3 linked regions of the Oryctolagus cuniculus genome follow. The protein of the gene in region 2 purifies or fractionates together with the protein of the main gene of each other region. This does not show direct contact. Links are inferred from orthologs where the notes say so. Each region holds a gene or a part of one and is shown on either strand. Other genes may lie near its edges.

Evidence for each region.
Region 1: the proteins of ERBB4 (region 2) and WWOX purify together in Homo sapiens (affinity purification with western blotting; 4 studies listed by BioGRID). This does not show direct contact. The link is inferred for Oryctolagus cuniculus from reciprocal best matches to the Homo sapiens genes ERBB4 and WWOX.
Region 3: the proteins of ERBB4 (region 2) and signal transducer and activator of transcription 5A purify together in Homo sapiens (affinity purification with western blotting; 3 studies listed by BioGRID, with this or other methods). This does not show direct contact. The link is inferred for Oryctolagus cuniculus from reciprocal best matches to the Homo sapiens genes ERBB4 and STAT5A.

Annotation. Positions count from the first base shown.
Region 1 is NC_091449.1:60,455,443-60,459,083, forward strand, and holds part of WWOX (WW domain-containing oxidoreductase), read left to right. Parts: intron 1-22; coding exon 23-87; intron 88-868; coding exon 869-926; intron 927-3,641. UniProt on the Homo sapiens protein: Putative oxidoreductase. Acts as a tumor suppressor and plays a role in apoptosis. Required for normal bone development. May function synergistically with p53/TP53 to control genotoxic stress-induced cell death.
Region 2 is NC_091434.1:26,982,580-26,986,895, forward strand, and holds the start of ERBB4 (receptor tyrosine-protein kinase erbB-4), read left to right. Parts: upstream 1-1,375; 5' UTR 1,376-2,060; coding exon 2,061-2,142; intron 2,143-2,149; exon of another isoform or gene 2,150-4,316. UniProt on the Homo sapiens protein: Tyrosine-protein kinase that plays an essential role as cell surface receptor for neuregulins and EGF family members and regulates development of the heart, the central nervous system and the mammary gland, gene transcription, cell proliferation, differentiation, migration and apoptosis.
Region 3 is NC_091448.1:20,507,785-20,511,425, forward strand, and holds part of signal transducer and activator of transcription 5A, read right to left. Parts: intron 2,624-3,641; coding exon 2,536-2,623; intron 2,441-2,535; coding exon 2,318-2,440; intron 2,034-2,317; coding exon 1,941-2,033; intron 1,476-1,940; coding exon 1,269-1,475; intron 275-1,268; coding exon 180-274; intron 1-179. UniProt on the Homo sapiens protein: Carries out a dual function: signal transduction and activation of transcription. Mediates cellular responses to the cytokine KITLG/SCF and other growth factors. Mediates cellular responses to ERBB4.

The sequences.
Region 1 (3,641 bases), on a different chromosome or scaffold from region 2:
GGATTTTTTTTTTCTTTGACAGCCACACTGAGGAGAAGACTCAATGGGAGCATCCGAAAACTGGAAAAAGAAAACGCGTAGCAGGAGGTTTGTATGTTGTTGTGATAGAGCAGAGTCTTGTGTTTGAAACATGAGTTAGATAGGGAAGATGTACGAGGCAGGGAGTGGTGGGTCACTGTGTCAGTCGGGGAAGGCTGTCGGGTAGAGAACCCTACAGGAACTGGGCTCCTGCTCTGAGAGCTTGTGAGGTTTGGCAAGGGGGTGCTGAGGTGGTGCCATGGAGTGAGGATGACTTTCTACCTGAGCACAAAAGAATTACAGTAATTCGGGCTCTTGACTCACAGTTTACTAAGTTTTGCCATAGCTGTGCTGTTGGTGAAGTTATCCTTGGCTTGTGGCGTGGAGGAAGTCGAGGGTCTAGCTGGAGACAGTTTGCACATAGGAATACAAAGGAAGTGCTCTATTGCATTGTGTGAGGCGTCACGGGTCAGCCTAAGAAAGATGGCGGCTGCCTGCCGTACGAAGAGACACATTCTGTGGGCTCAGTTCAGGGAGTATTCATGATGGTTTGGCGTCAAGTAAGATTGACAGCAAGAGCAGCAGCTGGGGGGAGCAATCAGAACTAACCAGGAAAGAAACGGGTTTTGGCTAAAATAAGAGACGGGGAGGCGGAGCCTGGCTGTGGGTGATGGACCCTTAGCAGCTGCCTCCATTGGAACGTGTGACCGAGATGGGTTGAGGCGACCGTTGGTTGGGAAGGATGGACCCAGGGAGCAGGGGTTGGAGAGGGGCCTCTGGTCCTGGCCTGGGGGCTGGGGCTCCATTCACCTGGCCGCACTTCGACCTGTCTGTCTACCCTGTGTTTCAGATTTGCCGTATGGATGGGAACAAGAAACCGATGAGAACGGACAAGTGTTTTTTGTTGAGTAAGTGCCTATGTAGATAGAATTCTTGACCATTTTTTATTACATGTATCTCACATTGTAGAAAAATACAAAGTAGTGCATGCCTGTAATCTTAGCAGCGGGAGTAACTGCTTTGAACGATTTCTGGATTTATTCTTTGAATATATTTTCTGTGCACATGCTTTATTTTTTAAAGAAGTGGGAAATACACTATCTGAACTATTTAGTAACCTGCTTTCCCAAATACTGTAGTGTGAGCATTTTCTCATATCTTGGTTTGTTAGGAAGATGATACTTCAGTGGCTCTTGAGTCTTAACGTTTTATAGATACAATTGATCAGTGTCTATTGGGCATGGAGGTTAAAGTCCTGCTATTAGGAGTCTATGGCTGTAAGTAATGCTTTGAGGATGCTTATCTGTAAAACCTTTTCACACATCTCTGATTGCATCCTTAGAATAAATTCCAGTAATAGCAATTGTAACCACCTATACACGGCATAAGGGAGGTGTAGTTCTTTTTTTTTTTTTTTTTTTTTTTTTTTTGACAGGCAGAGTGGACACAGAGAGAGACAGAGAGAAAGGTCTTCCTTTTCTGTTGGTTTACCCCCCAGTGGCCCCTGCGGCCGGTGCACCATGCCTATCCGAAGCCAGGAGCCAGATGCTTCTCCTGGTCTCTCATGCGGGCTCAGGGCCCAAGCACTTGGGCCATCCTCCATTGCACTCCTGGGCCACAGCAGAGAGCTGGACTAGAAGAGGAGCAACCGGGACAGAATCCAGTGCCCCGACCAGGACTAGAACCCGGGGTGCTGGCGCTGCAGGCGGAGGATTAGCCTAGTGAGCTGTGGCGTTGGCCGGAGGTGTGGTTCTGATGACTTTTTTTTTTTTTTTTTTTTGCAGTATGAGCTCATGAGCACCACAGTACTCTGTGGATAGTATTCGTTATGGTCCCTGGTTACTTGCTGATGAGTGTCCAGGGTCCCACGGCTCCTCATGACAGACCAGGGTTTGAGCCCAGCAATTGCGTGAGGTTCTGCTCTCTGGACCACATGAGTTAAGAAGGGAATGCGTGTTTCATGGTGGTCAATATTTCAGTCAGAGGTTGGCATATTTGGTAGGACTGGGATTCGTTGGTTAATAGAAGTTGATTGAAGCAGGATTTTTTTGAAAGTATATATAATATTAACATTTAATATTTGATTCAAGTTTATTAGGCCTTTGGTGACAGGATAGGCCCACTCTTGGAATGAGAGTCTGTTCCTTGGGTCGTAGTATGGCCCTCCTTTCCCATGCATTCTCCTAGTATATGATCTGCAGTTTCTGCTTTTGCCCTCTTTAAAGTTGAGGAAAAATTTACATTTCAAAGAATCTGAATGCTATATCTTTCTAGAGTTTTTAAATTTTAAGCTTTTTCACTGAACTGAATTGAACCAAAACTTTATTTAAAAAATACATAGTTGAAGGGCAGAGCAACAGGAGAGAGAGCCAGAGCCAGTGCCAGTGCCAGAGAGAGAGAGATCTTTGACCCACTGGTTCACTCTCCTAATGACTGCAACAGCCAGAGCTGAGCCAGGCCAAAGTTAGGAGCCTGGAACTCCATCCTGGTCTCCTACATGGTAGGCAGGGGCCCAAGCATTGGCTGCCTTCCCAGATGCATTAGTAGGGAGCTGGATTGGAAGTAGAACAGCCTGGAATTGAACTGTTGCTCCAAAAGCTGGTCCCTCAATTTTTTTTTATTTTGGTAGTTGTGGTTGAGGCTCTGCAGAACATTCAGTGGTATTTTCATAGACTGACAGTTTGTTTACAGTCCACATGTTAACAGTCCACATGGTAATGGTTCATTAAATAGTGTAGTTACAGTAACAAGTTCAAATGGCACAGGTAGTTTTTGAATAAACCTGAATGCTTGATGGGCCTGCAATGTTGGGAGCAACTGGGCCCTGGCTTTTTTTTTTTTTTCTCCATTTTGTGAAAAGATTTATTTATTTGAGACAGAGAGGCAGAGGCAGAGAGAAAGAGAGATCTTCCGTCTGCTGGTTCACTCCCTGAATGGCCATTATGCTGGAGTTGGACTGATCCGAAGCCAGGAGCTTCTTTTGGGTCTCCTACGCGGGTGCTTGGGCCCAAGGACTTAGATCATCTTCCACTGCTTTCCCAGGCCATAGCAGAGATATGGGTCAAAAGTAGCAGCCTGGCAGCTCTCTGCTGTGGCCAGGGAGTGCAGTGGAGGATGGCCCAAGTGTTTGGGCCCTGCACCCCATGGGAGACCAGGAGAAGTACCTGGCTCCTGCCATCGGGTCAGCGCGGTGCGCTGGCCGCAGCACGCCGGCCGCGGCGGCCATTGGAGGGTGAACCAACGGCAAAAGAAGACCTTTCTCTCTGTCTCTCTCTCTCACTGTCCACCACTCTGCCTGTCAAAAAAAAAAAAAAAAAATAGCAGCCTGGACTTGAACCAGTGCCCATATGGGATGCTGGCACTGCAGGAGAAAACTTTTACCCATTATCTTGAGATGAGTCTCTCGACCATCATGGGCAGCCCAGGAAGAAGAGATAGTCTGGCTTGTTGGATAGAGCGGATGTGTGTTGTTGCTTGTTAGTTTGTAAACTCTTTGTGTACCTTGCTGTATACAAGTTTGATTGCTTAAGAAATAAAGGATATTGACCTTTTGGTGAATGTTATGAATGGTTTCTTCCAAATTTTTCTCTTAACATGGTTGGCCTTTTAATAAGTAAAGTCGT
Region 2 (4,316 bases):
CATCATCTGCTCTAGGCTTGGTTTCTCCCTGCCCTAGGCTGCTTTTGGGTAAAAAAGCATGCTCAGCTTGTTTTGTCTCTTTGCTGGGCCTAGGAAAGAGAGAGAAGCTTTTTTTTGGGGGGGGGGGTGCGTAGGAAAGAGAAACTCCAGGCTTCTGCTCTTCCTATCTGTTCCAGGGAGATTCTTAAGGGACAGGGCTAGAGATAAAAGATGTGGGAGAGAAAAGGGAAGGTCCCAGTTGATGACAGAAGATACAGGGTGGTTTGATTTTTAAGTTCCCAGGTACTTTTTATTTATATATTTCCTATTTGTAGAGAAACCAAAAAAGGAAAATGATTAGTACGTAGTATGCCTGCGCAAATAGCAAACCCATAACCTACTAACCCCAGGAGATTTTGGCTCCTGTCCTGGGTAGTTTCAGAGCTGTAAGAGGTATGGGGTATGTACGTGGAGAGTCTCCAATTCCAGGATATAGTAATTAGATTCAGAAACCTCTCAGAGAATCCCAAAGCTACCAGTGACCCGGGGATTAGGGAGCCTAACTGGCAGAGAACACGGAAGTGTCTCCAGCTGCGTCTACTACTAGAATAAACCTCATCATTTGAGGTCCATTACATTCTGACATGGCCGCCTTAAATTCTTTCAGACCCAACAGTTCAGGCTTGGAACGTTTTTGAGCCCTTTAAAAGCAAATTAGCAGTTGGGCTAGAATGTGCCTAGAGAGAATGAACCCCAGACAAGTGGTCCAGAGAAAAGGCAGCATGGCCCATGAGAATCTGAAAGTCAATGATGTGGTTCTGCCAATGCAGATTTTTAGTTTGGTTCAGAGTCTTCCCGTTTGGCCGGGTGTAACTGGGGAAGGGGGATGATTACCGCGGAGGACGACCTGGTGTGCTGGGGCTACCAGTTACCGAACTCTCCTGTAAATTACCTTCTAAGCGTGGAGCATGACTGTTTTTTTTTTTTTTGGGGGGGGGGGAGGGTTTGCACATCCTTTTACTGAAGAAAGTTCTGTCTGTGGATGAGCACTGTGGGGCAATGGAGAAAAAAAAAAAATCTGTCCTCTAAGCATCCTAACGGTGGTCTGTCCCCTCGCGGGCCAGCTGTCCCGTCCTCCGCCGGGGCGGGAAGGAGAGTGTTTCGGTCCACGGATTCGGGTGAGCCCTTTAAATCCAGCCTCCCCGCCCCCACCTCCCCGTTGCCTCTCTCTGACAGGTGTTTTCCCAACTCTGGAGGCTGAGGATTTTGGGGAGTGGCTGAGCCAATAAGATCTCCCTTTTTGGGGGGGGGGAAGGGCGTGGCCAGCTGGGTCAGAGCAGGGGCGGGGTTTGTGCCGCTGAGCCGAGCTTGCCTGGTTGCGTGGAGGGTTGTTTTATCCCCCCCCCCCCACCGTCCCCACCGCCCCCCACCTTTTTTTTATTTATTTCGGAGTCTTATTAATTTCTCTGTGGGGCTGCAGCTGGAGACCGCGGAGCGTTGGAAATGACGCTCGGAGCTTTAATTACCGCAGCCGCTGGACAAGTGTGAGGAAAGCTGACAGGAACAAGGACAGGATCGGGGGAGACGCCAGCAGCTCCCCCCGCCTCCCGATTTGGACTGGAGGTGCAAGGAAACTGAAAAGGGAGCCGAACATAGCCCGGCTTGGGGGGGGAGAGGCCGGAAACCTACCGCCTCTTTGCAATCAACTTTTTTTGGAAACCTTTCTCTCCCCTTCCTTTTTATTGTTGACCAACCAGTGAGAGAGAGAAAGTGAAGAGAGAGCGAGAGCGCGAAGCTCCCACGGGGAAAATAGCTGCACAGTCCGCCCGGAGCAGCCCGCGCCACCCGGGAGCGCTCCCCGGCGCGCTCCGCGACGCCCACTCCTCTACGGCCGGCCCGGCCCTGGGCCCGCGGGCGCGGACTCGGTCGCCCGCGCTGGGGAGCCGCTGGACCGCGCGCGCCGCGCCCGCCCCCTCGCGCCCCCACTCGCGTCGGACTGGGGGAATCTCCTCCGCGTGCCCGAAAGGGGCTATGCCAGTTGGACATGTAATTGTCAGCACGGGACCTGAGACTTCCAAAAAATGAAGCTGGCGACAGGACTGTGGGTCTGGGTGAGCCTTCTCGTGGCGGCGGGGACCGTCCAGCCCGGCGCTTCTCAGTCAGGTGGGTCGCGCTCCTTCTCGCGCTCCAGCAGTTGAACCTGTCGCCGCCGCCGCCGCCGGCTAGGCTGCCTCGGTGGCTCCCCTGCCGTCTTTGCCCACCCCGACCCCGGCTCGCCCCCAGGCGCGGAGGGACCCCTGGACTGGGGCCTCTGGCACCGGCTCCCGGTCACCCCTTTCTTTCTCCATCCTAAACTTACCCTGTGTGTATGTGCGCGGGCGCGCAAGTGTTTTATTTATCGTGAAAAATTACTCTGCACCCCATGACCCTTTCCCCCCCTCTCTCCTTAAGCCACCTTCTTTCTCCCTCGCGTGTTTTCCCTGTGCCTAAGCGGGCTCGCTGCTAGTCGCGCCTGTTGTTCGGACGCGGGAGACCCAGACCCTCAGCCAGAGGAGCCCTCCGGTCTCGGACTCTGTGCCCTCAAGGCAACAAGCCGCAAAGGAAGGCGCACCGCAGGAGCCTGGGCAGGGCTGGGGTCCCGGGGTGGTGCTGGCCGGGCTGCTCCGCAGCCCGCGGGCTGTGGAGCGTGCAGCTCCGAGAACCAGGCTGTGCACCTGTGTGTGCTCCCTGTGGCCGCTGCGCCCCCAGTCGCCCGAGGTTTGCGGGGTCAGGCACGACTGGAGCCCAGCCTGGGCAGCCTGGAGAGCGCGGCGGGCGGGCGTGCCTCGGCCCGGGCCTGGAACTGCCAGCCTCCTCGGCTGGCGTCCCGGAGTCCCTCGCCCCATTGACTCGAGGGGTGCTTGCTTGCATGCCTGTCCTATTAAAAAAAATTAAAAGAGGCTTGGCACGTTGAGCTAGGAGCCCGGCCTTCCCGTCGGTGGCTGTGTTTGGCTCCGGGAGGAGTTCTTCCTGTAGTTCAACTTGCTATTGGCCGGACTCCCTCCAACTTCTCTGTTTACTGCCCGGCCGGGCTGCGGAGCCTGCCGGTCGCGCGAATTGATTTAACCCGAGGCGGGCGCGGCGGCTGCGCTCCCGGGCGCGGTCAGTGTTTGCTGGAGAGCTTGAGCCCCAGGTACCTGGACAGGCAAAGGGCTAATTGACCCCGAGGGGCCGCGCAGGGGGCTGGCGCGCCGCAGCGGGCAGGGCTAATGACAGCAGCACCTGCAGGGACAGGGGAGCTCTAAGTTTCCAACACTGGGAGTTTCCTGGGGATGACCTGGGGACTGGAAAGGAATGAGGAGAACCGGTGTCTGACGCGGCCAAGGTGGGGGGTGGTGGTGGTGGTGGCCTCTGGAGAGCCCGGGGGAGATTTCCGGAGCCGTTTGGGGTTGCTGGCGAGAGCGTGGGAGGCAGCTTGAGGAGATAAAGCCCCTGGGAGTGGCGATAGGGCGAGCTTTAGGCCTCCGGAGGGTGTCCTCCTGACCTCGCCAAGAGAACGGCGGCTCGCGGTAGTTTCCCCGCTCCGCCCCCGCCTCCCCCTCGCTGCCTAGTAAATAACAAGTTCCAATCATGGAGCCTTTCAGAATGACCTTCGCCTGGCACATGTGCGCCGTTTGCACCCTCCCAATTACTCCGAAATTCTTCATGCATACCAGGTCCCGCGCTCCAGCCACCTCGGGAATTGCACCGTCTCGAGATTCCAAGCGGCCTCTTAGATACATCCCTTTTTATCTGCCTCCCCACTCCCAGTCCCTTCATATTTTCCCTCAATGGGTTGATTATGCACATTGACCCATTCAAAAACAGTTGCGACCGACAGGCAGGCTGAGGCGGGAGGAATTTCTAGGAGGCGACCTACTGGGGGCTGTCTGGTTCAGCCTCTGCCGCTGGAGGACCCGCTCCCGGTACGCAGCAATTTGGTATTAACTGTGCGGCGCGGGGCTGAGCTATTCCGAAAAGCCCTTTTCAGAATTTCTGCAAGGAATGTAATCCAAATTAGTTCTGCAGCTGTCCTCTTCCTCGTCTCAGGCGACACCAGCTCTTGCCCTCGCTCGTCTCTTCTCCTTTCCCTGGGCGAATTGTCAGACCCACAAGTGAGCCCATTTAGAGCGCGAGGATTAGCGTGCCATTGTTGTTCCGAGTGTGACTCTGTACTTGAAATTCTGGGGGCACAAAGGAGAGCCTCACTTGTTCAGAACACAAAGTGATCCAGATGAAAGGGCCGCACAAAGAAAAGCTCTTGGGTGCATCCCTGGTATAATTGCAACACTCATACTAAGGTGACCCACTGGAAACTG
Region 3 (3,641 bases), on a different chromosome or scaffold from region 2:
CCCGGCCTTCACCTGCCGTGGTGCCCCGGCCTGGCCCCCGGCCCCAGCCCTCACCCACCGCGGTGCCCCGGCCTGGTCCCCGGCCCCGGCCCTCACCCGCCATGGTGCCCCGGCCCGGCCCTCACCCGCCGCGGTGCCCCGGCCCCGGCCCTCACCCACCGCGGTGCCCCGGCCCTCACCCGTCGTTCCAGTGCGGCTTGTGATGCTTCTTCAGCACCTCCATCACCCCATCGAACCACTGCCAGAAGGTGTAGTTCCAGCCGGGCAGGTTCTCCTGCGAGCCGGGAGACCCCGAGTCAGGGCTGGGGCCCGGCCACGGGCGGCCCGGGGTCTCCCTGCCCTCTTGCCCCAAGCCAGGCCTGCTTCCGATTCTTCACCCCTCCCTCTCCCAACCCCAGCACTCCATACACTGACTGGCCCCACTCATCACCAGGGAGCAGAGCCACTCGTCCCACGCTTCTAAGACGACGGGGGTCCCTGACAATCCTCTGGGCAGGAGTCGGAGGTGTAAAAATTTTCCAGGCCAGGGGTGGACATCTGGCACAGCACATGAGAAGCGACCTGGGATGCCTGCATAGCATACTGGGCTGCCAGGGTCCAAGTCCCAGTTCCACTCTGATTCCAGCTGCCCGGCTAATACACGTTCCGGGAGGCAGCAGGTGACGGCCCCAGTACTTGCTTCCCTGTCCCCCATATGGGAGACTCAGACTGAGTTCCAGCCTCCTGGCTTTGGACTGGCCCAGTCCTGGGCATTGCAGGCCTTGGGGAAGTGGACCAGCAAATAGAAGATCTCTCTCTAGCTCTGTCTCTCTGCCTTTCAAGTACATTTTAAAAATAATAACAAAGGAATTGTCCAGGCTGGACAGGTCTCCATCCCTTCACTTTATAGAGGGGCGCAGCTGGGTAAACTGAAGCCCAGAGCACAGAGCTAGGACTAGAGCCCGAGGGTCCAGAACCCAGCTCGAGGTTCCCCAGGTCCTCCTGCTTGGGTTCTCAAGCTGACCATATCGCCTTCCAGCCTCTGCCTGTGTTCCTTGGGGTCCACACCCCCATTTCTCCAGGTGGAAGGAGACAGGGTGGGGACGCCCGACTGCGAGCTGGGGGAGGCAGGACAGGGCGGGTGGTCCCAGGCAGGCCCTCACCCTGTTGAACTGGGACCAGGACACGGACATGCTGCTGTCGTCCTCCAGGTAGGAGACAGGGTGGGGCCGCCTGACCGCGAGGTGGGGGAGGCAGGACAGGGCGGGTGGTCCCAGGCAGGCCCTCACCCTGTTGAACTGGGACCAGGACACGGACATGCTGCTGTAGTCCTCCAGGTGGCCGCTGCTGCTGTTGAACAGCTTCTGTGCCAGGAACACCAGGTTCTCCTTGGTCAGGCCCCGGTTGCTCTGCACCTCGGCCTTGAATTTCATGTTGAGCGCCTCGCACAGCTGCGGCCACAGCACTTTGTCAGGCACGGCGAATGGCACTCTGCCCTGGGAGGAGCGGAGAAAGCAGAGTGGATGGGGCACTTAGGGACATGGAGTGAGCAGGAACATATGTGCACGCACGCCTGAGACACACAGATACACAAGAAAGAGGGGGCCGAGAAAGTTCCAGAAAGTAGGCACAGACCCATGGGGGAAAGGGGGCAAGGCAAAAGAGAGGATGCCGCGTGGGCCCACAGGGCCAGGGGCCCAGGCTGCAGTTAGGGGGCCAAGCCCAAGGCAAAGAAAGATCCCAGGCCAGGGCCCAAGGTCCAAGCCCTCCTGTGCAGAACCTGCAGCTGGAGCCCGAGGGCAGCCCCACTCACCTTGCCCCAGCCCTGCTCTGGGCCTAGGGGAGGGGGCACGGGGTGAGAAGCACCTCGCAGCAGGGGCTCAAGGAGCTGCCCTGACCTTGAGCAGCGTTCTATGGTGTTGGGGGTGGGGAGGGCAAGGCAGGGTCCCCCAGGGGCTCACCGGCTCAGCAAAGGCGTTGTCCCACAGCACAGTGGCCGTGGCGTTGTGGTCCTGGCTGCCGTGGACAATGACAACCACGGGGAGGGACAGCGTCTGTGGGAAAGTGAGGAATGAGCGTGCGGGGGCGTGGCCGCCGTTCCACGCTCTGCTCGGGCAGGACTCCCAGCCCCGGCCGTCACCCACAGAACCAGCTGCAGCACCCGCAAACCAGAGAGCGGAGTGTGGCTCTCTTCAGTGCACCGCCTCTGCTGCGGGCCGGCACAGGGAGCGCAGGGGGTCCCGGGCGCCTCCTCTCAGCGCAGCCAGGTGGCCTCCCACAGGTAACCTGGGCCATGTTGTGGGTGAGCCTCGGGCAGGGGGCAGCCGGGGGTCCTCACCTTCACCTGGAACACAAGCTCATTGCTGCCAACGCTGAACTGCGACTCGAAGAGGACCGTGAACTTCTCCTCCGTCACCGACTCCGCACCCCGGCGGTCCGCACGCTTGATCCTCTTCAGTGACTGCAGGGGCCCATGGAGTCGGGGGAGGGGGGGCAGGGTCAGGAGGGTTCCCCGCTGGGCTGAGCCCCCTCTCCACGGCCAGGCCCAGTCCTTACCATGTTCCTGAAGTGGGCGCTGAGGGTGCCGGTGGCTTGGTGATATTCCATGACGCAACAATTGTTCAGGATCTCGCCACTGCACTCGCTGTGAGCAGAGAGAGCCCCAGGTCCGCATGGCCTGGCAGGGATCCCTGCTCTGGGCAGTGCTGCCACGGCCCCTCCCTGGGCCCCATCACCCCGACAGCACCCAAGGCGAAGGCTCCAAGGGAGAGGGGTGGGCAGAAATCCCTCGGCCACCAAGGTTGACGTGGGGATGTTCAGGACTGCTTGTAGCTTCTGGTGCATTTCAAAGAAAAGCCACGACCCGACCGTGGCCTACAGGAGCCCCAGGATCAAGCCCACCTCCGTGTCACTCAGGAAACACTGGCCATGGCGGCCTTGGCCACCTGCTGTGCACGCCAAGCTCAGCACCTAACCTGGAACTTTAGACTTGGGTATTCACTCCCCCCGTCACCCAAAACACCCCTGCCCGTCCCTTCCCACAGCCCCGCCCCAGTGTGGCTCACGCCTCCCCCACCTGCCCCCATACATCCACACACTAAGATGGCACTGTCTTAGCTCTCTTTCTACAGTCTATCACTTTTCAGCACAAACCTTTTTTTATTTTACTTATTTGAAAGAGAGAAAAAGAGCACAAGATCTCTCATCCGCTGGTTTACTCCCGAAATGTCTCTAACAGCTGGGGTTGGGCCAGGCTGAACCCAGCAGCCAGGAAGTCAATCCAGGTCTCACACATGGATGGCAGGGCCCCAGAACTGGAGCCATCGCCTGCTGCCTCTCAGGGTGACATTAGCAGCAGGAAGCTGGAACCAGGCGAGAAGCTGATTTGTAAACCCGGGCACTGCGGCGTAGGCATTCAGAATGGCATCAGAACCACCGAGCCCGCTGCCTGCCTGCCCCCTCATTTTTAAGGGTGCATTATTCTGTCTCCCCAGCTAACCCGCAAGTTGTAGGAGCACAGCCTCGTGCGTCTCTGTTGTCACACTACCCCCCGATCACACACGGCAGGCACACACTGACCGATTAGGACCGGATGACCCGGGACGGCCTGTGGCCTCCCACACCACTCATCCACGCGCTCACGTGTCCATGCGCTGGTGGCC